Linked DNA regions of Caenorhabditis elegans. The protein of the gene in region 2 purifies or fractionates together with the protein of the main gene of each other region. This does not show direct contact. Each region holds a gene or a part of one and is shown on either strand. Other genes may lie near its edges. The genes, in order: ran-3 and tsr-1.

Region 1 (12,280 bases), 5.9 Mb from region 2:
AGTTCCACAGATGTGTTCCTGAAAAGATAGCCATATAAATGGAGAGTAGACGGGATTTAATGGGCTTGCAATTTGAGAAAAGTTAGTTGATCGAACGTATATTTCAGAATTCAAAACAAAAATAGGATAGCCTGGAATGTGAAAACTAAATTAAAACTAGCAGCTGAGATATTTTTAAGAAATATCCACAGCTTCAAATTTTAACATTTATTTTAGTTTGTCAACCGGTTTCACTAACACAAAACGTACATTATTCAGCTGAAACAATTACAAAAAGAACGGTATTTGAAAACAGAACTGTATCGAAAAAAAGGGATCAAAAATACTTACCAATGATGTTTCATTCGAATTCTCTCGAGCCCTCCGATAAATCGAAGCGCGCATGTTTCTCGAAGAGAGTCCACTTTAGAAATGATAGCGTCCAGGACCAGGGACGAAGCAGGAGCTTCTCCGTTTTTGGAGGAAGAGAGGGCACTAAAGCTCTTCTTTCCTTTCTCTTTCACTCTCTTTGAACAAAAGAGCAAAAATACTAATTCCCCTTGTTGCTCCCAAAAATGGGTGCCACAAAAAAGAACCGCGGTACTAAACGAGAACCCGGCAAAGAAATTGAAATGTAGAACGTTGTGGTGTCCCATTAACACCACCCAAAATGGGTTCTCTTTTGAGGAAATCTTGATGACACCCCGGTTAGCAAAAGCCTCTTATGACATTTGAAGGGATGTCTAATGGGATCTTGTAGAGCAGCAAAAGAATAGAAAAGATGGCCAGTTAGAAGAGGAAAAGCAAGCTTCGGTTACAGATCAAGAAAGTGCAGACTGGTTAGTTGGGAGTAGATGAGGGATCATGTTTCAGGAGCATCAGTGACACAAGAACATGCCCCGTATCGGATGACGTGACAAAAGTAGGAGAAAACAAGAACTTTGGTAACTTTCGAGTGGTATCACACAGATTTTACAAGTTTCAGAATGCTGGTAGAGGAATCATGTGGAACGAAACCAGAGAAACAATTTTCTATAGGCCTTTGAGATATTTTTCAGTTTTCAAATTAAAACAATTCGAATCATTTTCAATCTACAAGAAGCTTGACATATCTCAAAACTTCAAAACTTCAATCAGCTTGTTTTTAAATAGTATGCAAAATCAATTTGTATATTGAATAAATTCAACGGAAAGTATAATATATACACCCTTTTAAAAACGTACATAGAAAATTAATGAGTCGATTTTTTTTCACAATAGAATATAAAAATTTTCACATTGAAGAACACTTGACTTGAAAACCTAGAATAGTTACACTTACCTTTGTTTTAAGCAGCACCTTTTTTGGGTGAATATCGCCCGCCATTCTATATACTTGGAATACTGCAACTCTGAATTGGAGTAAAGGAAGCTATTATAAAGACATGAAGGAAAAAGGAAATAACATATTAAGATCACCAAAAAGAGTAGAAAATTGGTGGAAAGGACCCCTGGAACACTGAGCGGTCCTGAAGGAGAAAAAAGTCATTTTTCATGTTTTTCGTCCATTGGTTTTTGATGAAAAAGTGATGAAAATATGAGTCGATCTCCGTTACCTGGCGACAGAGATGGAAAACTCATAAATCAACAGTAATAGCTTTTTTATGAGGTGAAATTGGGCGTGCTTAAGAGATAGAAGGTTTCTGTGCTTGTTCATACATGAAAGTGCATTGACCAAAACTATTAACGCAAAAAAAATTTGCTTGGAAAATTTTGACCTAAAAAAAACGACGGAAATTTGTAAAAGCTACACCAATTCTGGGTGTTTATAGTGTTTTTGGACATTTCCAGTCGAAGTAAATTTTCTAGCCACGACAGGAATATTGACTAGTAGAAATTGAAGTTTAAACTGAAAGAAATAGATTTTTGAAAATAAAATCCGGATATTACCTTTTCGGTATCTTGAAAAAATCTAAAAATATGTTTGATTTTTCAGATTTTCTGAAAATTTTCATAGTCTTAAAAATATGATATTTACTGGGATTTCCTTTAAAACCACTGAAACATACTCCGACGGTTATAAAACGGTTCGTCTTTTTAAAATAATCATTATTTTAAATTTGTTTGTATAAATTTAAAAATATTCCAAAAAAAAATAGCGACTCAAGCTGTCAATGTAGAAAATTGTGTTCTTTGAATATTTCTACGCCGAAAACTGCAACATATTTGAAAGTGTAAAAGAATAACTCAAAAATGTTTGAGACAATGTACAAAGGAAATGTTGAGAAAAAGAAAGAAAATGATTGGTCTATAACACAAGAAAATGAAAGAAACTGGAGAAACGACGATTATGAATCAGAAAATTGAAAATAAAAGTGATCCAATTTAAGAAACTTTGCTCAAAACACGTAGTTTGTATTTACATCTAATTTTAAAAGCTGTAATTTTGAAAAAATGTCTTCACTTTAAAGAGTTTTTTTCGCCATAGAAAGTGAAATGGAACAGTGAAGTGGAAAAAAGGGAAAGAGTTAGAAGTTCATGAAATAATCTTTAACTAATTCCAGATAAGACTCTGAACTGGTCTCCCGCGTGTGCGGGTAAGAAAACAACAAAATAAAGGACGATAAATTATTTTACAAGCTCTTTTTCTAAGACGCTTTTGTCTCGAAAACAATATAAATTTTGAAAAAGAGAAACAAAACGGAATTGGTATGTAGGAATTTCATACTTTTCAAAAAAAGTTGTTTAGGTTTGGAATCAATTGAGTCTAAAACTCTTTTTGAAATTGTTTACTTAATAAAATACTAATTTCAAAAGACTTTTTGAATGAATGCAAAATGCTTAATATTATTTTTTCTAGTACCTTATTACCTTATTACGAAAAAAGTTAATTTTTAAACCTAGTTTTTAATTGGATTTAGTTGTAAAAACATTTATTACATTATTGGACTGCTTTTTTTAAACTTGAATTTTGTAAGTAAAACAAGAGGAGAAAGACATGAATTTAGATATTTAAAAGAAGTTTCGTTAAAAGAGAGATAGGTTAGACTTGCTTAGTTTAGACAATTGAATTGGAAGGCTCGGTGAGCTGTAATCGAAGAAAATAGTAGGATGTGCGAGGTGGTTGAAAAATTGAGGTTAAGACCCCTGCACCAGTAAATTTTTTTTTGGAAGAAAGCTTCAAAAGGAGAATGGCAAAATAAATGGGATGAAATTTTTGGAAAAATTTGAACGCGAGAAATGATGAATGGAGTATTTGCAGATATGGAAAAAACAATTGAATGGAAATATTTCAAGTATATATATGACAAAAAATACTGGGAGACCCATATTTCATAGTTTAGTTTCAAAATTTAATTCCCAACAAACTAACCTCTCTCCTCTGGGGACTCGCCATTTCGGCAGGTTTGAAAAATGCAAGCAGAGCTGGATCCATTTCGCTGAATTTTACAATAGAAAGTCACATGAAAAAGGAAAGTCTTCAAAAGAATAAAAACATTGAAAACTTATATGAATAAAATAGAGACACACTTATAGTTTTTAAAAGAATAAAGAGTTTCGAGGGTGCCAAATAATAAAAATGGAGAGGGAAGAATTGAATTGAAGTAGTTTTGAGAGTTATGGGAGTTTTAGTTTTGAGTTTTGAGTGACATAGATGGAATCAAAGAAAAGTATTTGGAAAGAGTTCCTCCGCCGTTTAAAGATAGAAAACATCATTTGCATATGGATTATAAATTGTACATATTCGAACAGAATTTTCTCAGATTATTGAGAAGTTAGGTTAAAGTCAAGTGAATTTACAAGTGGCTTTGAAAATTCTAGATATTTTCCACAATCAAATCTTCAAGCAAAAGAACACATTAAATCTGATAATTACTAAAATTTTGTGTGATCGGCAAATAATAAAATTACAGCACGCACTGAATGTCTGAAAGTCACTCAACAACATCAAAGAACAGGATTTTCCAAAAGTGCATCCAAACCTATAAAAAGTATGCGGAAATCTTCAATGCCGGAGCCCCGCAAAAGTCAATTTCTAAAATGGAAAGGCGAGTTTCAATGAATGGAAGAAGCCGCACAACATCATCGAAAGTGTCAAAAGGTTGCCTTTTTTCCTTTTTACCCGACAAAGAAAATGCATAAAACGAAGAAATAAGAAAAATGGAAAAGAGCATCGAAATGTAAATGTATCAGACCGCTCACAGGATCATTTTTCAAAAAAATTCAAAGAAGCCGGTGCATCTTGAAGACGTCTAAGAAGATGTTCTGGTAGAAGAAAGAAAAGGAAAAGTCACGCTCTTCTATTCCCCTTTCCTCACCGGAAAGACAAAACAAAAAGCCCATTTCGATCTGATTTATCACCTCGTCTTACCTCCTTCCGTTGCAGATTCACCATTTTTATTTTCAGTAGCGAGTATTTTATCAAGTATATTCGAGCACAAACAGATATACACACACTTGTCGTTGATTGGTGTTTTTGTGATGTTACACATACATTGGAAGACACAGATGATACAACTCAACACAATTGATTGTCATCACAGCAATCAATTGAGAAGAGAATAAGATAGAGAGATAAAAAGCATTAAAGTATTTATAGAAAAAGAAATAAAGGTCAATTGGATTTTTTTTCGATTTGAGCAATCAAATCAAATCTTGGAGCTTTTGGAATTTTAAACAAATTTACCAAGGACTTGCTAGAGATATTCGAAAATGCTTTTTTTCTGGATCAACACAAAAATCTATACCGTACTTTTTTAAAAATTAATATGACGTTAATACTAAAAAAAAACTTACTGTTTTCCGATCAGTCATATTGACCTCGTCGAGTAGCATCCGGACCGATGATCTGGAAAAAAAAATTTCAATTCAATTATTTTTAATTTATACAAATATGTTAGATGTAGAGTTAAATTCAGACTTGAATTAAATGAAACTAATGAGGGTTTTTCGCAATTTTGAAAGTTAGCAAAAACTTGTTGAAAAGATTATGGCTTTCCGAAAAACTTCCTCTGAACTTTGAAATATTTTTTCTACAAATTACATTACAACAATAAGAAAAAATAAAGCATATAATAATGTTAAGTAAGGCTGAAAATTTCTCTAGGTAACAAGAATATTGAAAAAATATATATAACTGCTAACGGAGACGACGGAAATTGGAAAATATTTGTGTCAAAACTTCTGAGCCTAATGAAATGGCGTTCCTATTGCAACTGTCTGTTTTCAGCCGAAAAAAAAAACATCTGCAATGTGTAGGGTTTTCTCAAAATACTAGGCTTGAACAATGAAAAAAAGAGTTTAAAAAAATCGAAGCTTTTATTGTGAATTTCAGAAATCACAACTTGGTCAACCAAACTGTTAAAATAGCATTGGAAGTTTCAATTACTTTGGAGGCAAAAAAACTAAAGTGCAAGCAACTGATACGTGAAAAAATGTTAACTTGATGCAAAGTGGCAACTTTTGTGCTTCATCTCTGCAAAAGCACTTTAATTAAACAAAGGAAAGGTGCGGAAAGGAGCATCGTGCTGCTCTCTTGTCGACGACGTCGTCCACTTTAATTCCAACTTTTGACAATGTCTCGGGTGTCACACAAGGAGACTTCTCGTGTGTCAAAAACGGGATTATCTACTCTTTTCCTTTCTTTTTTTGCCGTTTTTTAGATGTGTTTCGAATATGTGTTTGTGGGTGGACAACGCGGAAAAAATAACGGTGGATCAGTGAGAAAAGGGAAATGGACGGAAGGAAACAAAGAAAACACATTGAGACATTTTGGAGGAAAAGCATATACAAGAGCATAAATGGCATAGTTATGAAGAAAAGAAGAAGATTACTCACAACCCATAACAGAAAAACAATAACGTTTGCAAAGATATCTTTAAATTAGCATACCTTTTTCTCCCATATCTTGAGAATCCCCTTTCGATTGTACGTTCTGATGAAGACATTGATGTGTCATCTTCATGAATTGAAAGATAATCCATCTGAAAATAATATTATGGATTTCAGAGTTCCAGAAAGATGTTTAGCATTTGAGTGAAAATTCGAAGAGAGTTTGTTTGAAATGTTATGAAAAGAGTTGCAATTTGACGATCAGTTAGGGTTAAAATTATTTCTACCGTACCTACCTACAGCACACTTACATACAGCAAATTTCAAAGCGATAACCTAAGGAAGTTCAATAAAATTCGTGATTTTTTTTTAATCTTAATTGACTGTCTGAACACCTTGTCAAAAAAAAGAATGCATTTTCAAAGAGACTGTTATCCCAGAAAATCTACATTTTATTCAGTTTTTCCAAAAGTTCCAGTTTAATATTCCCGTAATAGATTTCTAGATTGTTAACTGCAAGCTTTCAGAAGATATATATTCTGAAAGTTGAAGGCTTTCACTAAGATAAAACATTTGAAATTGAACTGTAATGTAAGCCGTCACATTCACAGCCTTACAGTACATTTGAATAAAATAGTAAGTGCACTACAATACTGAAATCTAAGGTATATCTCAAACATTAAATTCGTTTTCTTTTTTTGGAAATCGATTTCTGAGCCCGTATATTATGCTTTGAGAGAAATACTTGCAAAAAAAATTAGCTAGAGCTTCTGCATTGAAAAATCCTTGAAAACTAGAAATTATTTACAAAATAATAGATGCAGGTGAAACAACGTTATCAAAACATGTTCTGTATTAAATTTTTGCTATGAAGTAAAATGTTTATAGAAGAGCAAGATTACGTAAAGAGCATACTAGGACTTGTGTTACAAGTTCAGAAAGTTAGTTTTGAAAACTGAGACACAAAACCACAAAAACCAAAAATCGAATGCACCACACAGAATTCACAAAACATGTGTTATTTTATTACGTTCGAAAATTCAACTATAGGTAGCATTCAGTGAAAAGAAAATGCTAAAAATATCGGTGAAGGCTTAAAATTTTTACACCTTTTCGTTAACTTCAAAGTTATTTGGTTTTATTGGAAATATCATGTGAGCATGCAAAATACTAAAAAAAATCACAAACCGATGGTACTGGATCAGTAGTTATTTGGAAAGAAACATGTGAAGAACTGATTGTTTGAATTGGAGTATCGACGACTTCTTTCGATGCATCCACGTCGTCTGACGTCCTATCGTAGTTGGGAAGTGATTTGGATGACATAAATGGGAATTGGAAGAAATGTGGGTGCCAAATGAATCAAGCACAACGAGCAAAAAGATTGATGAAATTAAAAGAGGAAAATTGATAGAAAATAGTGAAAAGGGTAGCAAAGGTCCAAAACAAAACGTGCAAACAAAGAAATACAGAGATGAGATTTCAATTTCCTGAAAGTCGAGCACAGAAGCCAACTTAATGAGAATCTGACTGACAACGTCATCAGACAAATTTTCAAATCAAGTTGTTGCAATAACAAAAGAGAAAAGGATTTTGGATTCTTTATAGCTACTATTATAATGTTGTCAGTTGTGTCAAAACAACCAAAGAAATTAGATAGATATCAGATAATTTTCAGTCAAGAAGAAATTAGTCGCTTTTTTTCGAAATTATTGTTTATTAGAATAGTTTGTACCAGCAAGCATATTCTGAAAATTTTAAAAAGGTCAAACGGTAGCTAACATACAGGCATTTACTGCACTAAATTTTTATTTTAAGAGGCGACGAGAGAATTAGGTGCCTTCGCTACGAGATATTCCCGCGCCAAAAACAGTAGGCATTCTCATGATCTCATGGTTTCTTAATAAAACATGGTGCAATATTGAGTTACAGTAACTCGGTGTCCACGTGTCAAAACCCGTGCACTTATGTAAGCTATGGCGAAAAATGCTCATCTTTAGATGCCTATATAATAGCATAAAGGTTGCAAAACAACTACCAATAATTCAATGAGCCATTAGATTTCGCATAATAAAGTGTTGAAGTTACGCAAATGTATCCAATTTTTCATACTGAAGACAATTTGAATATATATTTAGAATCTGGGTCAAAAGACGACGTGTACTCATCTTTGGAGGTTTTTGCTCCGAGCATGATCCGAGAAGGGCGGTCCCTTCCGGCACCCAATTAGACTCGCTTTCAAAGCCGTTGTTGTACTAGAGAATTGAGATATCTATGAGGGAGTTTTGGAGATGTAGCTCAAAATTCCAAAAAATAAAGGGAAAATTGGAGGTGGATTAGGAGCCTATTTGCATTCAAATCGACTCGTATAATGAGCAAAGGAAACAACATAAGTGGGTAAATAGCAAATATTAGAAGCTCTCTGAAAATTGAAAAAAAAAACGAAACCAAGAGTGTACATTGTTTCACAGATACCCATTGATTTATTTGTCCTTCCAGGAAACGTTTACCATAAATGGTGAAACGGATTATAAAACAGTGAGTTCACATGATAAGAGAACAACATAACTCAGGCTAAAAATGAAAAATTTTTGGATTCCAATATATAGCAGAACTAATAGGGGGTTTTGAGAAAACATAGAAGTTGGAAATCAATCCAGGGATAGAGTGAAGTGTTTAAACGTCGTTGTGCAACGACGTTTCAACAATTCTCCATTTTCACAGAAGGGAACTCTATCCCTTTCTTACATGACTGATGCTACTTGACAAAAATGAAATGATAAAAAAAACAGAAAAATTGATGAGAATGTTACTGGAGAACAATCGAATTGGCTACCGGGAAACGAAAAAATAACAAAATAATGCTACAGAGACAAAACAAAACTGATATAAAAGTTGAGAATAAAACCAAATAATTTAATTTTTCTTGGCAATAATCAAAGTGTGCTGATCGGAAATCGAAGCCCCGATAATCGAATAACCGTCAAGATGGGCGGAGCTGATCTCCTCTGGCTTGGACACCATCTGGAAAATAAGATTGAATATTTTATTTATTGATAGTTTGAGTTTTGAAAAATTACCTTCTCGTCTTCGTCTTTCAATCCGAGACCAAGTTGTCCGGTAGTATCAAAACCCCAAGCGTAGGCGGTTCCATCCTCAGACCAGGCGATAGAAGTGGCTAGTTTGGCAGAAACACCAACGATCTTCGAATCGAATTCTATTTCCTGGATTGTATCGTACAACCAATGCTGTTGGTCGTCCTTTCCAGTCCAATTACCGAGGCCGAGAGCATTGTCTGTGTTCTTTCCCATAGCAAACACTTTTCCATCACTTCCGAGAATGACGACATGCTGGACTCCTTCGATATTAACGAATGTTCTTTCTGCTCCAAAAGCTGGGGCTTCTGCTGGAAGAAAAACCCGAAGCTCGCGGTTGTCCTGTCCGTCTTGTCCGACATCAGCTTCGTCAACTTTGATACCGAGTTGAGCATAGTTATTGAGTCCGAAGGCGTAGTATTTTCCGTCTTCTCCGTGGACAATAGTCCAAAATCCACTGGCGAACACGTTTTTAGCAACAACGTCAAAGAACTTTCCTTTATGCTTAAATCTGAGGGGCACGAGTAAATGATCACCAGATTCATCGCACATGTACTCTGAAATAAAAGTAATCTGTGATGTATTTTGAAACATTAATTCATAAACCAAACAAACTTATGAAAAATCTCACTTGAACGAATAGTTTTGGTACGACTACTGCGTCCTAACTGTCCCATTTCTCCATCACCGAACGTGAGAAGGCAGCCCTTCTCATCCAACATCACGAGATGGTTCTCGCCAGCTGCGATCTTCACAATTTTACGTTTAGCTTGGTGGACAATAACCACCGGCGCTTCTTGCATCTTATGAAGGAGTGGATGAACATCAACGTTTCCATTGGAGTTGCGAAGATTTCCCCAGGCAATTACAGATCCTTGATCAGTGAGAGCAGCGGTAAACGAGGCTCCAGCGGCTAGCATTACAATCTGAAATAATATTTGAATAGAAACAATAATAAGACAGCATACAAACCTTTCCTTCCTTCTCGATATCTTCCTCGAACTTTACTTTCGCAAACTCGTCGGTACTTCCTTCCTTCTCTACACCTTCCGCGGGAACAGTTCCCTTTTCGTTGATACCGCACATATAAACTTCACCCTCAGAGGTAAGTACTGCTGAGTGAACTCCTCCTGCGACGGCTTGAAGTGGTTTTAAACCTTCTTCTTCAAAAATATCAACTTTCCGTGGCTTTTTTGTGGTGGTTCTTCCTGGGTGACCCAGAGCTTCTCCTTCTCCGCACGACAAAACTCGATCGCCAATAATAGAAGGAGCGAACAGGTCATAAGTTAGAAGTGGTGCAACCAACTTAGCTGAAAAATTATTTTTATGTTGTTGTTTCAGAAAATATATTTGAAAAACCAACAAACCTTGTTTCCGTCCTGGAGTTTTAGGCTCATTAAGGGTCGAGTTCATCGTACTATTAATAGTGGTGTTTACTGATTCACTACCCTTACGTTTTCTACCTCTTTTGCCTGGAGTTACAGCAGACTCTGCGGCAGCAGTAGAAGTAGATGGTAATTTTTTTGGGCGTCCAGCTCTCCGGGGAGTTTTGGGAACATTGTCGACGATAGAGTCTGATGCTTCAGTTTCCATGGCAGCAAGTTCAACTTGTTCGGTAACCTCTTCGTCTTCTCCGTGATTTCGAGCACCCGAAGCACTCGACTCTGGCTGATCAGCTCGTGGTGTCTGAAAATCAATAAATATGACGAAATTGTTGATTTACGAAACCAACCTTATTTCCTTGTTCGTTTACATTATCGTTCGGGAGTTCTACCTCTGAGGTGTCCATTCTTTGCTCCGCAGTTGACATTTCTGAAAACAAAAGAATAATATCGAAAGTTGATGAAGGTAACAATTTCCTGTCAAGGTTAAGTTTAGGAGAGTAACAAGAGATGAAAAACTTGGAGAGACACCATGTTCTGAGAAGATACCGATAGAAGAAATGCAACGGGTGTGCGCAAATGCGCAAAAGGTATTTTAAAAAAAGATTAAAGAAGAATGATTAAAAAGAAGTTACTTAAATTTAAAAAAATAAATAGATGTTTACAAAAACGAATGAATTTTGTGAGGAGGCGGAGCTACTTTTGAAATTTGCAATGCGCGCACGCAGTTTTGCAAGGCCGCTCCACGGAGAACAATGTTCTCGATATATTTCTCGAGTAATTCGTATCCTGCGAATAAATTGAGGGTAACTTGGTTTTCAAGTTAACTGGAACATATTTAGCATGAAATATATAATTGTTGGTGGTGGAATTGCTGGAGTTTCGTGCGCCAGTCAAATGCTTCAGTTAGAAAGATCAGCGAACTTGGAAGTAATTATAATCTCCGCGTCAAGTTTCGTGAAGTCTGTGGAGAACTATCAAAAAGTAAGTTGATGAAAACATTTAAGTTTAATAATTATATGGAAATTTTCAGATCGGGCAGTACGGAGAGAAATTTGACGTAAAAGAGACAAATTGCCACGAGCTCTTCCCAGATAGTAGAATTCGATTCTTGAATGACACAGTGGTTACGTGGGATTCTTCAAAAAATGAAATTCATCTGCAAAACAATGAGAAACTGAAATACGATAAACTGTGCATTGCTACCGGATCTCGTCCTAAATTCCAAAAAGAGTTGGGAATTGATCGCAGGATAGTGTTCTTACGAGATACACAGAGCGCGATTCAATTGAAGACTAAACTAAAAAATGCAAAAAATATTCTAATTGTCGGAAACGGGGGAATTGCTACTGAATTGATCTTTGAGCTTAAAACGTTCGACGTGACATGGCTGATCAAAGATCCTTGGATCTGTGCTTCGTTCTTTCCGGAAGACATCGAACAATTCATTGAAAAACGATTGCTGAAGGGACGGATAGATGGTTCGTTCTCGAGATTTCATGTATTGCGTGCTCATCTGAAACTTCAGGTAATAAGCATGACGGACAACAAAAACATCTTCAACATGTAGCTGCTTCTGAATCTGTCTCTGAAAATATGAACAACCCTTCTGGACCAGCGTTGGGTCCCGACTGGTGTTCTCAAATAGACTTTCAGAAAATTTCGGAAAAATCTGAAAACCGATCGGTGACTATCTTGCGTAATTGTGTTATAACAAGCACCGATACGTCCCAAAATTTGTCGGTACATTACATGGATAAAGAAAAGATGGTATCATTTTAAGTTATCGTACCATTAAGCCTAGTTATTTTATTAAGGCAGATAACCAGCTCAATCCAGATATTTTTATTTGGGCAGGAGGTGTAACTGCCAACTCAGAAGTCTGGGCTATGAATAAAATGCTCCAAATCACTGAAAATAGTGGAATTAAAGTCAACGACGCTTGCGAAACCTCACTTCCTAATGTTTTTGCATGTGGAGATGTTTGTGCACTGACTACCACAGAACCATCAA
Region 2 (12,288 bases):
TAATTTCTAAGTCCACATTTTGCGAGGAATTCGAATTTGGCACAAAAACTCTGAATTTTTGAGTTTCAATCCAAGAATTTTAGACAATTATCGATTTTTGTTCAGCTTAAAAATTTTTCTCGAAATTTTCATTATCAAATTCGAATTCCTCGCCATTTCTTTAGTCTATCCATGAATTTTCAGCTCAAAATTCGAAAATCCCGTAAAATCGGGTGTTTTGGGGGTACTGTAGTCGGTGTTTGCGTACTTCTGGCGCTACCGTAACCTTCGAAAACTCAAAATTGAGCTAGAAACCTCTAGTTTTCGGGTTTCTGGCGGAAATTTCGCGGGGAATTCGAATTTCACCTCTAAAAACTTAAAAACCCACTCGATCAAAGCAGAGAGCCACGTGGCTCGCGTATCGAGTATCCGTCGCAAACTGAAGTGTCCATCGGACGACGGGCTCTGCAAAAAAAAACATTTTTATTCAAATTTTCCACATTTTTTCCCAGAATTTACCCAATAAATTGCTGTGCTGCTCGAACCAATCATTCAAATCCGAAATTAGAGACAATGAAGTGGCAATCAGTGCAGGCGGTGATTGGACAGGCAATGAGCAAATGAGCTGGAGCACTTCGGGCATATTTGTGTCGGATTCCCTGAAAAATTTGAATTTTTAAAACAATTTTTTTCAGTGAAAAATGAAAATTTGGGCATAGCTTCCGCATCCCCGGTGACAAATGTGCCCTATTGCACCGAATTGTTGGCTGGAATACGGTATTTATTGCATGTTTCAGCCGAGAATACCAACTATTCAAACCATCAATTAGGATAGAAGCACACAAGTCACAGAAATTTCGGATTTTGGGGATTTTTTGAAATTTTTTTAGACAATTTTTCAAACTTTGGGTAGAAAAATCCAAATTTTTTTGAATTTTTCGATGAAAAATCTTAAATTCTAATGTTATCTCAATTTTCGGACTAAAAATGTGATTTTTCCTACAAATCTCTCTCTGTTTAGGCTTAAATTCGAAAATTTCATAGCACACGCGTTGCGGTCGCGTCGCGGTTTCAGCTAGAAATTTCAAAATGAAGCTAAAAGCTTCTAGTTTTCGAGTATCGAAGCCAAATTTTATGAGGAATTCAATTCTGGAACTCAAAATACCCAGAAAATTGAAAATTGTTGTTCAGCCAATTTTGAACACACAGTTTTTTTCGAACAAAAAATTTTTTTTTTGAAAATTTTCAACTAAAATCTCCATTTTTCACGAAATTTCCCGGTTTTTTCTGAATTTTCATCGATTTTCATAATTTTTTCGTCCAAAAAATAATTATTTCGACTAAATTGGCAATTTTTACTGTTTTTCGGTCAAAAAGTTCCAATTTTCTGGTAAAAAAGTGTTTTTTGTAAATTTTTCGCCTACTAAAAATCCAGTTTTTTCGTGATTTTCAGCAGATTTTTGCATTTTTTCGGCCAAAAATCGGGGTTTTTCGGGATTCAGTGAAAACTCGAAAAACTGCATGTTTTAAAGGCCAAAACATGTCAAAAAAAGCCCGGGAAATCTCAGATTTTCTGGAATTTCCCTTTAAAAAAAAACATACGGCAGTAGGTTCTGAACCACTGCAGACATCACAAAAAGCGCCGATTCCGACTCTTCCCACGAGGCGTTGGGCTTATGACAGCACTCGATAAGCTTCTGATGCATCATTTGAATACATTTATCCGAGTTCACAATGAATACAACATCACGTAGAGCTTCGACGGCTTTCAGGCGGAATTCTCCAAATTCTGAAGTTTCATCGAGTAGATCATCGACGTCATCGGCGTCAAGTTTACAGTGTTCGTAGAGGCATTGAATGAATTTCTCAGCGTACGGACGGAAGCGGCCAATATATTGATCATCGTCATATTTGAAGAGCTCTTCGGTGATACGGTACCACACATTGAATGACATCTCGATGAGCTGCAGCAAGAAAATTGCGATTTTTAGCTTGAAAATGAAATTTTATCTGAAAATCCGTGCCAAAATCGGATTCCCCGCTGTTTTATTAGTCTAATCCTAAATTTTCAGCTCAAAATTCGAAAATCGCGTAAAATCTGGTGTTTTGGGGGTACTGAAGATGGTGTTTGCGTACTTTTGGCGCTACCGTACCCCAGGAAATTTCAAAACAAAGCTAGAAAGTTCTAGTTTTCGCGGTTCAGACTGAAATTTTATGGGGAAATCGAATTTGAGATGAAAATTCAAAAATTTTAAGCATTTTGTTGGATTTCTCGAATTTTTGCCAATTTTCGATGTCTCGTAATAATTTTGGCCGGTTTTTAATATAAAATTCGAATTCCCCGCTGCTTTCTTAGACTAATCCTAAAATTTCAGCTCAAAATTCGAAAATCGCGTAAAATCTGGTGTTTTCGGGTACTGTAGTCGGTGTTTGCGTACTCATGGAGCTACCGTAACCTCCGAGACTTCAAAATTGAGCTAGTGAGCTCTAGTTTTCGGTGTCTAGGCTGAAATTTTGTGGGGAATCTGAAAATAATCGAATTTTAGTCAACTTACAGCCCAATCATGGTGCTTAGCGACTAGGAGCAGAAGCTCAAAGCATGCCAGGCTCCCGATTGCCGCCGGATCCGGATTCGCTTCGTTGACGATTTGCACATAGAAGGATTCGACCATCTCAACAAATATACGAGCAATATTCTGAAAAATCGATAATTTATTGATTTTTTCTGGGGAAAAATTGATTTTTTATGGATTTTTCCGCCGAAAATCGATTTCTCACATTTCCCGGGCCGAAATTTATCGATTTTCTCAATTTTTCAGCTCAAAATCCACCAAATTTCTCCATTTTTCCGCTACCTGAAGCCGATCAAAATCCTCCACTTGCTGAGCTTTCTCAAAAGCCGAAACCAGTGAAATGACTCCGCGATGCACAACTTCTGCGAGTTTTCTGTGCATTTCTAGGTCTTCAACACGATAAAGTGCCTGTACAATGCAATTTGTCGCAGTTTCATGGAGACATGACGGAATTATCGGGTCGATCGAGGCGATCACGTGGAAAATCATGGAAATTAGTGGTGACGCGGCAAAGTGATCTGTACGCATTTGATGGTTTTGTAGGTTCGATTCTAAGCATTTGAAGACCTGCAAGTTATCTTTAAATTTAAGGGAAAAATTTTTGAAATTTCAAAAAAAAAAATTTTTAATTTTTTTTTGTGCTGAAAATTTTTCTTTCAACTCAATTTTCAAATTTCCGACTTCAAAACCGAATTCTCTGTAAAATTTGGGCCAGAAACTCGAAAACTAGAGGTTTCTAGCTCAATTTTGAGTTTTCGAGGGTTACGGTAGCGCCAAAAGTACGCAAACACCGACTACAGTACCCCCGGAAACACCCGATTTAACGGGATTTTCGAATTTTGAGTTGAAAATTTAAAGATAGACTAATTGAATGACAGGGAGCTTGAATATTTTATCAAAAATTTGCTGGAAAATCTTTTAACCTCCAAATTTCAGCAAAAATTCGAATTTTTACTAGTTCAAAAATTTTTCTCGAAATTTTTATGCGGAAATTTGAATCCCCCGCCATTTTCTTAGTCAATCCATGAATTTTCAGCTCAAAATTCAAAAATCGGGTAAAATTCGGTGTTTGGGGGTACTGTAATCGGTGTTTGTGTACTTTTGGCGCTACAGTAACCCGGGAAATTTCAGACTTGTCCTAGAAAGCTCTAGTTTTCGACATTTAGCCTGAAATTGTGCGGGGAATCCGAAAATAATAGAATTTCAGCCAAACCATTAGTTTTAAAATCCAAAAGTCGAAAAATTTTCCGAAAAAATTAATTTTCAGTACTTCAAAAATTTTTTCTCAGAGTTTTCATAATTGAATTCGAAGTCCCCGCTATTTTCTTAGTCTATCCCTGAATTTTCAGGCCAAAATTCGAAAATCCCGTCAAATCGGGTGTTTTGGGGGTACTGTAGTCGGTGTTTGCGTACTTTTTGGGCTACCGTAACCCTCGAAAGCTCGAAATTGAGCTAGAAGCCTCTAGTTTTCGGTTTCCCAACTGAAATTTTGTGAGGAATTCGAATTTTGAATAGAAACGTCGAAATTAAGAGTATTTACAAGGATTATTTCGAAATTTTGTTAATTTTCGATATCTCATAATAATTTTCGCAGGTTTTTAATTTAAAATTCGAATTCCCCGCTGTTTTCTTAGTCTACCCATGAATTTTCAGCTCAAAATTCGCAAATCCCGTAAAATCGGGTGTTTTGGGGGTACTGTAGCCGGTGTTTGCGTACTTTTGGCACTACCGTAACCCCCGAGAACTCAAAATTGAACTAAAGAGCTCTAGTTTTCAAATTTAAGAGCCAAATTTAACGGAGAATTCGAATTTGAGCATGAAAATCGTCTAGGTCGGAGAGAAATCGGATTTTTAGCCGATTTTTTTCAAATTTTTTCGGCTTAAAAGCTAGCGACTTCCGGTTTTCGATAATGGAGGTTAAAGTGCGTACTCTCTTGAGAACATCCGCATTCGAATGAAACTTTTCGAGCACATGCGACAAGAAAGTGATCATCGGTTGCTCACAAGCGGCGAGCTCATTTCGTATCGCGTGCCGCCGATTCTCGCCAACTCCACGGATTTGTTCGACTTCTTCAGGAAATACTTGAAGCAGAGTCAGTGTCATTACGGTACGGTCGCCTTCGAGGGCTTGGCATCTGGAAATTTCAGGTTTTTCCAGGCATTTCTCTCAAAATTACGCACTGATTCAACAGCTCAAAAATCCAATTATTCCACGTCGGCACCTGAATGTACAAGTCGGCTATGGCAAGGCATAACTGTGTAGATGTGGCTTCTGATTGAGCATCATGAGCGGATGCTCCGTGGCGACTGCAAAAAAATTTGAAAAAATGGAAAAAATTGCAAGTTTTTGAGTGAAAAATGAAAATTTGGGCATAGCTTCCGCATCCCCGGTGACAAATGTGCTCTATTGCACAAATTGTTGGCTGGAATACGGTATTTATTGCATGTTTCAGCCGAGAATACCAACTATTCAAACCATCAATTAGGATAGAAGCACACAAGTCACAGAAATTTAGGAATTTTTTTAAGACAATTTTTCAAATTTTGGGTAGAAAAATCCAAATATTTCCGAATTTTTCGATGAAAAATCTTAAACTCTAATGTTATCTCAATTTTTCGGCTAAAAATGCAATTTTTCCTTCAAATCTCTCTCTGTTTATGCTTCAATTCGAAAATTTCATAGCATGCGTTGCGGTCGCGTCGCGGTTTTATCTAGAAATTTCAAAATGAAGCTAAAAGCTTCTAGTTTTCGAGTATCGAAGCCAAATTTTATGAGGAATTCAATTCTGGAACTCAAAATACCGAGAATATTGAAATTTCAGAAAATTTTGGACCAAATTTTCAGATTTTTTGCGAATTTTAAGACTTTCTGTTTTTTTTGTCAAGTTGAAGTTAAAATTTTTATCAGAAACTTCATTTCTTACCAAATTTGCTAATTTTCACAAGTTTTTTGAGTGAAAAATGAAAATTTGGGCATAGCTTCCGCATCCCCGGTGACAAATGTGCTCTATTGCACAAATTGTTGGCTGGAATACGGTATTTATTGCATGTTTCAGCCGAGAATACCAACTATTCAAACCATCAATTAGGATAGAAGTACACAAGTCACAGAAATTCCAGATTTTTTGAAATTTCGAATTAAAAAATGCCAATTTTTCTAAATTTTTTCGATGAAATGTTCGAATTTTAAGGCTATCTCAATTTTTGGCGGAAAAAATAGTGAAATTTTCCGATTTTTTGCGATTCTCTCCTCCAAACCAGCCTGATCAGCGTTAAATTCGAAAATTTAACAGCACGCGTCGCGGTTTCGGCTAGAAATTTCAAAATTGAGCTAGAAACCTCTAGTTTCCAGTTTGAAAGCTCAAATTGAACGGAGAATTCGAATTTTAAATAGAAATCTCGAAATTTAGAGCATTCTCGAGGATTTTTCGAAACAAACACCGAATTTCACGAGATTTTCGAAATTTTAGCTGAAAATTCAAGAAAAATCTGAAATTTTGCCATTTTTTAGCCCAAAAATTGAGATTTTCATTTAAAAAAAATCAGAAAATCGAGGGGTTTTCCTTGAAAAAGTCGGAAAATTGTCAAAAAATCTGGAATTTCCCAGACTCGAAAATATGGCAAAAATTGGAAAAATCGACATTTTTGAGTGAAAATCTGTGAAAATCGCGTTAAAAAAGTAGATTTTCGCCAGAAAATCACTGGAAATTGGGAAAAATCCGAGATTTTGAGCCAAAAAAATGACAAAAGTTCAGAAAAATCTCAATTTTTGTTCCTCAAAACAGAAAAAAGTGTTAGTTTTTAAATTTTTAGCCGAAAAAATTCGTAAAAAACCGATTTTTTCCACGATTTTTAACCAATTTTAGCTAAAAACTATCAGTTTCTCACATTTTTCAATCCGAAATTTCCAAAAAAAAAAAACGGTTTCCCCATGTTTTCAGTGTATTTTCGAATTTTCTGTGCTTAGAAACTGTCAAAATCGGAATCCCCAGGAAATTTGAATCGGAAAATCGAAAACTAGAGGTTTCTGGCTCAAATTTGAGTTTTCGAGGGTTACGGTAGCGCCAAAAGTACGCAAACACCGAATTTCACGAAATTTTTGAATTTTGAGTTGAAAACTGAAGTTTAAGACGAGAATTGGGCAAGAAAATTGAATTTCAAATCAGATTTCACAAAAAATCGCTCAAAATTCGAAAATCGGTTCAAATTCGGTGTTTGCGTACTTCTGGCGCTACAGTAACCCGGGAAAATTCAAAATTAAGCTAGAAAGCTCTAGTTTTCATATTTTCAGGCTCATTTTTTGTGTAGAATCCGAAAATCCGGCGTACCGATTCCTGAAAATCCTGCAAAAAAAGTTGGGCGGGCTGTACGTCGGGTCCTCCGCTGTAGAATGCGTCGATCGCTCGACACACCGTTTCCATAGAATCCATGTGATTTTGTTCTGAAAATTAGAGGAAAAATTGAGAAATCTTCTGAAAACTGTTAAAAAATCGCTGAATTTGAACAAAAAATTGGGGAAAAGACGAGAAAATCGATAAAATTTGGTTAAAAAACCCAATAAAATCCAAATAATTGAAACAAAATTTGAGTGACGGAAAAATCGTTTAATTTGTAAAAAATGAGGAAAATCTATGAGAAAAAAGCCTAGAAAATCAGAAAAAATACCAAAAAATGGGTGGAAAAAGAGCACAAAATTTGAGAGAAACTGGCCAAAAATAGGGAAATAATGGGAGAAAAATGCTCGAAAATGAGCAAAAAATGGACGGAAAATCTACAAAAAAATGGTCAGAATTAGGGGAAATTAGGCTCAAATGAGCAAAAATCGGGGGAAAAATGCTCCAAAATGAGCAAAAAATGGTAAAAATTAGGGAGAAAAAAACTTAAAATTCAGCTGAAAAAGGCCGAAACTAGGGAAAAATTAGGGGAAAAATTGAGAGAAAATGGACGAAATTTAGGTTAAATAGGCTCAAAAAAGAGCAAAAAAATAGAAGAAAAAGCTCACAAAAGAGCAAAAAAAATGAACAAAAAATCTACCAAAAAGGACAAAAATTGGACGAACAATCTATCAAAAAATGTTCAAAAATGAGCAAAAAATGACCAAAATTCAGGGAAAAAACGGCTCAAAAAAGAGCAAAAATGCTCAGAAATCAACGAAAAATTATCCGAAAAATCAATAATTTAGAACGAAAACAAATCGATTCGAGCCTCAAAAAGAGCACGTGAGCATCCGAGCATTGGAGTGTAGCCGCCGGCAATGTATTCCTGTAAATTTTCCAATCTTTGGCTGAAATGTGGCCGAAAATCGCTGGAAATTACCGCAGTGGGCTGTCGAATGTGAGCCAGATAGCCGAGAGCCTCGATTTCCGAAACATTTGGCATTGGTGGACCATTGATAACCAATTCGAGGGGCTGAAAAATTGAAATTTAAAAAATTTAAAGATTTTTCCGACTGAAAATCAATTTTCAATAGCAAATTCGAATTCTCCGCAAAATTTTGCACTACACCGCGAAAACTAGGCCTTTCTAGCTCAATTTTGAAATTTCCCGGGTTACGATAGCGCCAAAAGTACGCAAACACCGACTACAGTACCCCCAAAACACCCGATTTTACACGATTTTCGAATTTTGAGCTGAAAATTTAGGAATAGACTAATTAAATGGCAGAGAATTCGGATTTCTTATCGAAAATTCGTTAAAAATTTTTTTTAAACCGGCTAAAAGTCAAAATTTCAATTTCCAGCAGAAATTTGAACGGCTCTGCAAATTTTCATTGTGGAATTCGAATTCCTCGTCATTTTATTAGTCTAATCCTAAATTTTCAGCTCAAAATTCGAAAATTGCGTCAAATCTGGTGTTTTGGGTTACTGTAATCGGTGTTTGCGTACTTTTGGCGCTACCGTAACCCAAGAAATTTCAAAATTGAGCTAGAAACCTCTAGTTTTTGCAGTTAAGGGTGAAATTTTGCGGAGAATTCAAAATTGAGCTTTTAAATTCGAAATTCCGATATCCAGATCCTATTTTCTAGGATTCTTTAAAAAATACGAAAATTCCGAGGTTCAAATCTTTTTCTGCAAATTTTCATTGTGAAATTCGAATTCCCCGCCATTTTATTAGTCTATTCCTAAATTTTCAGCTCAAAATTCGGAAATCGCATAAAATCGGGTGTTTCGGGGGTACTACCGTAACCCTCGAAAACTCAAAATTGAGCTCTAGTTTTCGAATTTAAGACTGGATTTTCACGGAGAATCGGAAAATTGACTTGAAAATCTGAAATTTCGAGTGGAAAAGCTGCATTTTTTCGATTTCTTCCGAATTTTCATGTCCAACCTGGTGAACATAAGCCCTTCCGGCAACACGAATGACCGTATTAAACGACATATTCTCGGCGGCACGTTTTCTCGTCTGTAACATCTCCTTATTTCGGCGTTTTCGTTTCTCCTGTTCCTCCTTTTCCTCGAGTTCCTTTTCGATTTGCTTTTTACGTTCCCGATCCAGAATTACTTCGGCCGCCACATTCGAATCGCGAAGTTCGTCCATAATTTTCCGGGTGTCTGTGACTGCGGAGGCGGCTTCTTGTTCTTTCTGCAAAAAAAAAAATTGAAAAAATTTCAAAATTTTTGGAAAAAATCTCAAATTTAACAAATTTCCCTATACATAATCAAATTCCCCACAAATTTCACCCTTAACTGCAAAAACTAGAGGTTTCTAGCTCAATTTTGAAATTTCGCGGGTTACGGTAGCACCAAAAGTACGCAAACACCGAATTTCACGAAATTTTCGAATTTTAAGCTGAAAACTTGAGAATAGACAGAAAAAATAGCGGAGAATTCGAATTTCTAAACGAAAATTTGAAGAAATCTGTTTAAAGTAATGAAAAATTGGAAAATCTCAAAGTTTTTGTAGATTTTTATGGAAAATTCAAATTTGAAATTGAAAATTCTGAAATTTCATTATCAAATTCGAATTCCCCGCCATTTTCTTAGTCTAAAACCCAATTTTCAGCTCAAAATTCGAAAATGACGTGAAATTCGGTGTTTTGGGGTACTGTAGCCGGTGTTTGCGTACTTTTGGGGCTACCGTACCCCTCAAAGTGTCAAAAGTGAGCTGGAAACCTCTAGTTTTCGCGGTTCTGACCGAAATTCGACGGAGAACCTGAAAATCATGATGATAAGCTGGGTTTTTATGGATTTTTCATCCGAAAACTGGAATTTTTTCTAATTTTCGTCCAATTTCCCCAATCCTAACCGCGTCCATCTCCATATGATCCGTCATTCTCGCCTTCATCGCTCGCTCCTCACGAAGTTGGTCTTCGATCCATTTCTGATCGTCATCCAGTCTGGAAAAATCGGAATTTTCAAGAATTCGAATTTTCACATAAAAAGTTGCTCCGGGCGGTACCTTCGCTTGTTCCGATCGATTTGCTCTTTGTGCTTCTCCTCAAACGCCTGAATTTCGGCATTTGTCTCGTTGACGTTTGTCTCGAATACGAGGTTGTAGACGACTGTCTCGAATCTGAAAAATTGAAATTTTGAATTCGAGGGGCTGAAAAAATGAAATTATTGAAAATTTTTATAATTTCGGAGCTGAAAATTGTCTGAAAATCAATTTTATCTCGCAAATTCGAATTCTCCGCAAACTTTCAGTCGGAAAACTGAAAACTAGAGGTTTCTAGCTCAATTTTGAAATTTCCCGGGTTACGGTAGCGCCAAAAGTACGCAAACACCGTCTACAGTACCCCAAAACACCAAATTTCACGCGATTTTCGAATTTTGAGCTGAAAATTCAGGATTAGACCAAGAAAATGACGGAGAATTCGAATATCTTATCGAAAATTCGTAGAAAAAATTCTTAAAATTTTTGAACCGTCTAAAATTCGAAATTTTAATTTTCACTGGAAATTTCAGCGGTTCAAAAAATTTTCTGCAAATTTTCATTACGATATTCGAATTCTCCGCCATTTTCTTAATCTATTCCTAAATTTTCAGATCAAAATTCGAAAATCGCGTGAAATTCGGTGTTTTGGGGTACTGTAGTCGGTGTTTGCGTACTTTTGGCGCTATCGTAACCCTGGAAATTCCAAAGTTGAGCTAGAAGGTTCTAGTTTTCGATTTTCAGGCTGAAATTTCACGGAGAATCTGAAAATTGAGCTGAAAACACTGGAATTTCAAGTTTTCAGGCATTTTTTTCCGTTTTTTCGCTCAAAATTCGACGATTTCTGCCATTTTACCTCTCCTGATAGTCTCCAAACTCTCGAAGATTCTCAAAATCATCCTGTTTCAGATTATAGATTTTTCTGAGTTTTCTTCGGAGAAAAGTCTCCTTATCGATAAGTGGATCCTCGTAGATTTGTTCTCGGAAATTATTTTTTCGAAGGACCCGGTTGCAGACGTGACAGTTGCCAGAATTCAATGCGAAAATGTTGTCCACACAGTTTCTGAAAAAATCGCAAGTTTTTGGGGTGGAAAATGAAAATTTGGGCATAGCTTCCGCATCCCCGGTGACAAATGTGCCCTATTGCACAAATTGTTGGCTGGAATACGGTATTTATTGCATGTTTCAGCCGAGAATACCAACTATTCAAACCATCAATTATGATAGAAGCACACAAGTCACAAAAATTTATGAAGTTTTAGGGAATTTATTGGAATTTTTTGGAATTTTGAATTAAAAATACCAGCTTTTTCTAAATTTTTTTGAAGAAAATCTCAAATCCTCGAGGTTATTTCAATTTTTTTTGGCTAAAAATGCCAATTTTCGAGATTTTTTTCTCGACAGACAGCGTTAAATTCAAAATTTCACAGCACGCGTTGCGGTCGCGTCGCGGTTCTAGCTAGAATTTTCAAAATTGAGCTAGAAACCTCTAGTCTTCGAATTTCCGACTGAAATTTCATGGGGATTCCAGTTTCTGAGCACAGAAAATTCGAAAATTTACTGAAAACTTGGGAAAATCGTTTTTTTTTGGGATTTCGGCTTACAATTTAAAAAAAAATGAGAGAACCCGCTATTTTTAGCGGAAATTAGTTGAAAATTGTGGAAAAATCGGTTTTTTTCCGCCAAAAATTTGCCAAAAACTGAGATTATTCTAAACTTCTGCCATTTTCGGGCTAAAATGTCGAATTTTTCCAAATTTCCAGGTAGAAAACTCGCGATTTTGCGATTTTCACGGATTTTCACGGATTTTCACGGATTTTCACACTAAAATGTCGGAATTTTTCCAATTTTTCGGCCAATATATCGATTTTCCGGGCGTTTTCTCACTTGCAAAGCGGGTGGCCACATTCATTGATCATCATGACGAGCTGCTTGTTGGTATATTCATTAGACTTGCATTTTTTGCACTCCTTCATCTTGAAAATGGAGTTTTTGGTGGATTTTTGGGTTGAAAGTGGAGTTAATGACCTGAAAAATGAGAAAATTTGGATTTTTCGCTAAAAAAGCAGGAAAAATAGAGGAAGTTAGGCGAAAATCCATGAAAAATGCATATTTTGACGCCGAAATTGGTGTAGATCAAAAATTTGCCAATTATAAGATTTTCGAGAGGAAAATGTTGAAATTCCTTGATTTTCAGCGATTTTTAAGCAATTTTTCAGCTAAAAAATTGGCAATTTCTCAATTTTTTGGGAAAAAATCCCAGATTTTCACGATTTTGTCCATTTTTCGCCGAAAATTCCAGAATATTCACCGATTTTCTGCTCCACGATGGTCTTATTGTGTGGATAAAGCTTGCAGAAGATCG

The links.
Region 1: the proteins of tsr-1 (region 2) and ran-3 fractionate together in Caenorhabditis elegans (co-fractionation; one large-scale study listed by BioGRID). This does not show direct contact.

The regions. Positions count from the first base shown.
Region 1 is NC_003280.10:8,314,356-8,326,635, forward strand, and holds ran-3 (Regulator of chromosome condensation), read right to left. Parts: upstream 10,698-12,280; 5' UTR 10,696-10,697; coding exon 10,618-10,695; intron 10,572-10,617; coding exon 10,253-10,571; intron 10,196-10,252; coding exon 9,858-10,195; intron 9,812-9,857; coding exon 9,517-9,811; intron 9,443-9,516; coding exon 8,871-9,442; intron 8,815-8,870; coding exon 8,707-8,814; 3' UTR 8,257-8,706; downstream 1-8,256. Other genes in the region: shw-1 (BTB domain-containing protein), read right to left, coding at 4,756-4,807, 5,851-5,942, 6,979-7,116; C26D10.3 (Pyridine nucleotide-disulfide oxidoreductase domain-containing protein 1), read left to right, coding at 11,111-11,251, 11,301-11,748, 11,796-12,037, 12,085-12,280.
Region 2 is NC_003280.10:2,466,378-2,478,665, forward strand, and holds the start of tsr-1 (Xpo1 domain-containing protein), read right to left. Parts: upstream 6,994-12,288; 5' UTR 6,881-6,993; intron 4,860-6,880; 5' UTR 4,734-4,859; intron 4,688-4,733; 5' UTR 4,657-4,687; coding exon 4,483-4,656; intron 3,120-4,482; coding exon 2,835-3,119; intron 2,676-2,834; coding exon 2,535-2,675; intron 1,944-2,534; coding exon 1,582-1,943; intron 639-1,581; coding exon 499-638; intron 445-498; coding exon 368-444; intron 40-367; exon of another isoform or gene 1-39. Other genes in the region: mnat-1 (CDK-activating kinase assembly factor MAT1), read right to left, coding at 7,731-7,814, 7,869-7,961, 8,880-9,134, 9,798-9,888, 9,951-10,064, 10,780-10,986, 11,811-11,899; F53G2.12 (Complex 1 LYR protein domain-containing protein), read right to left, coding at 11,944-11,951, 12,235-12,288.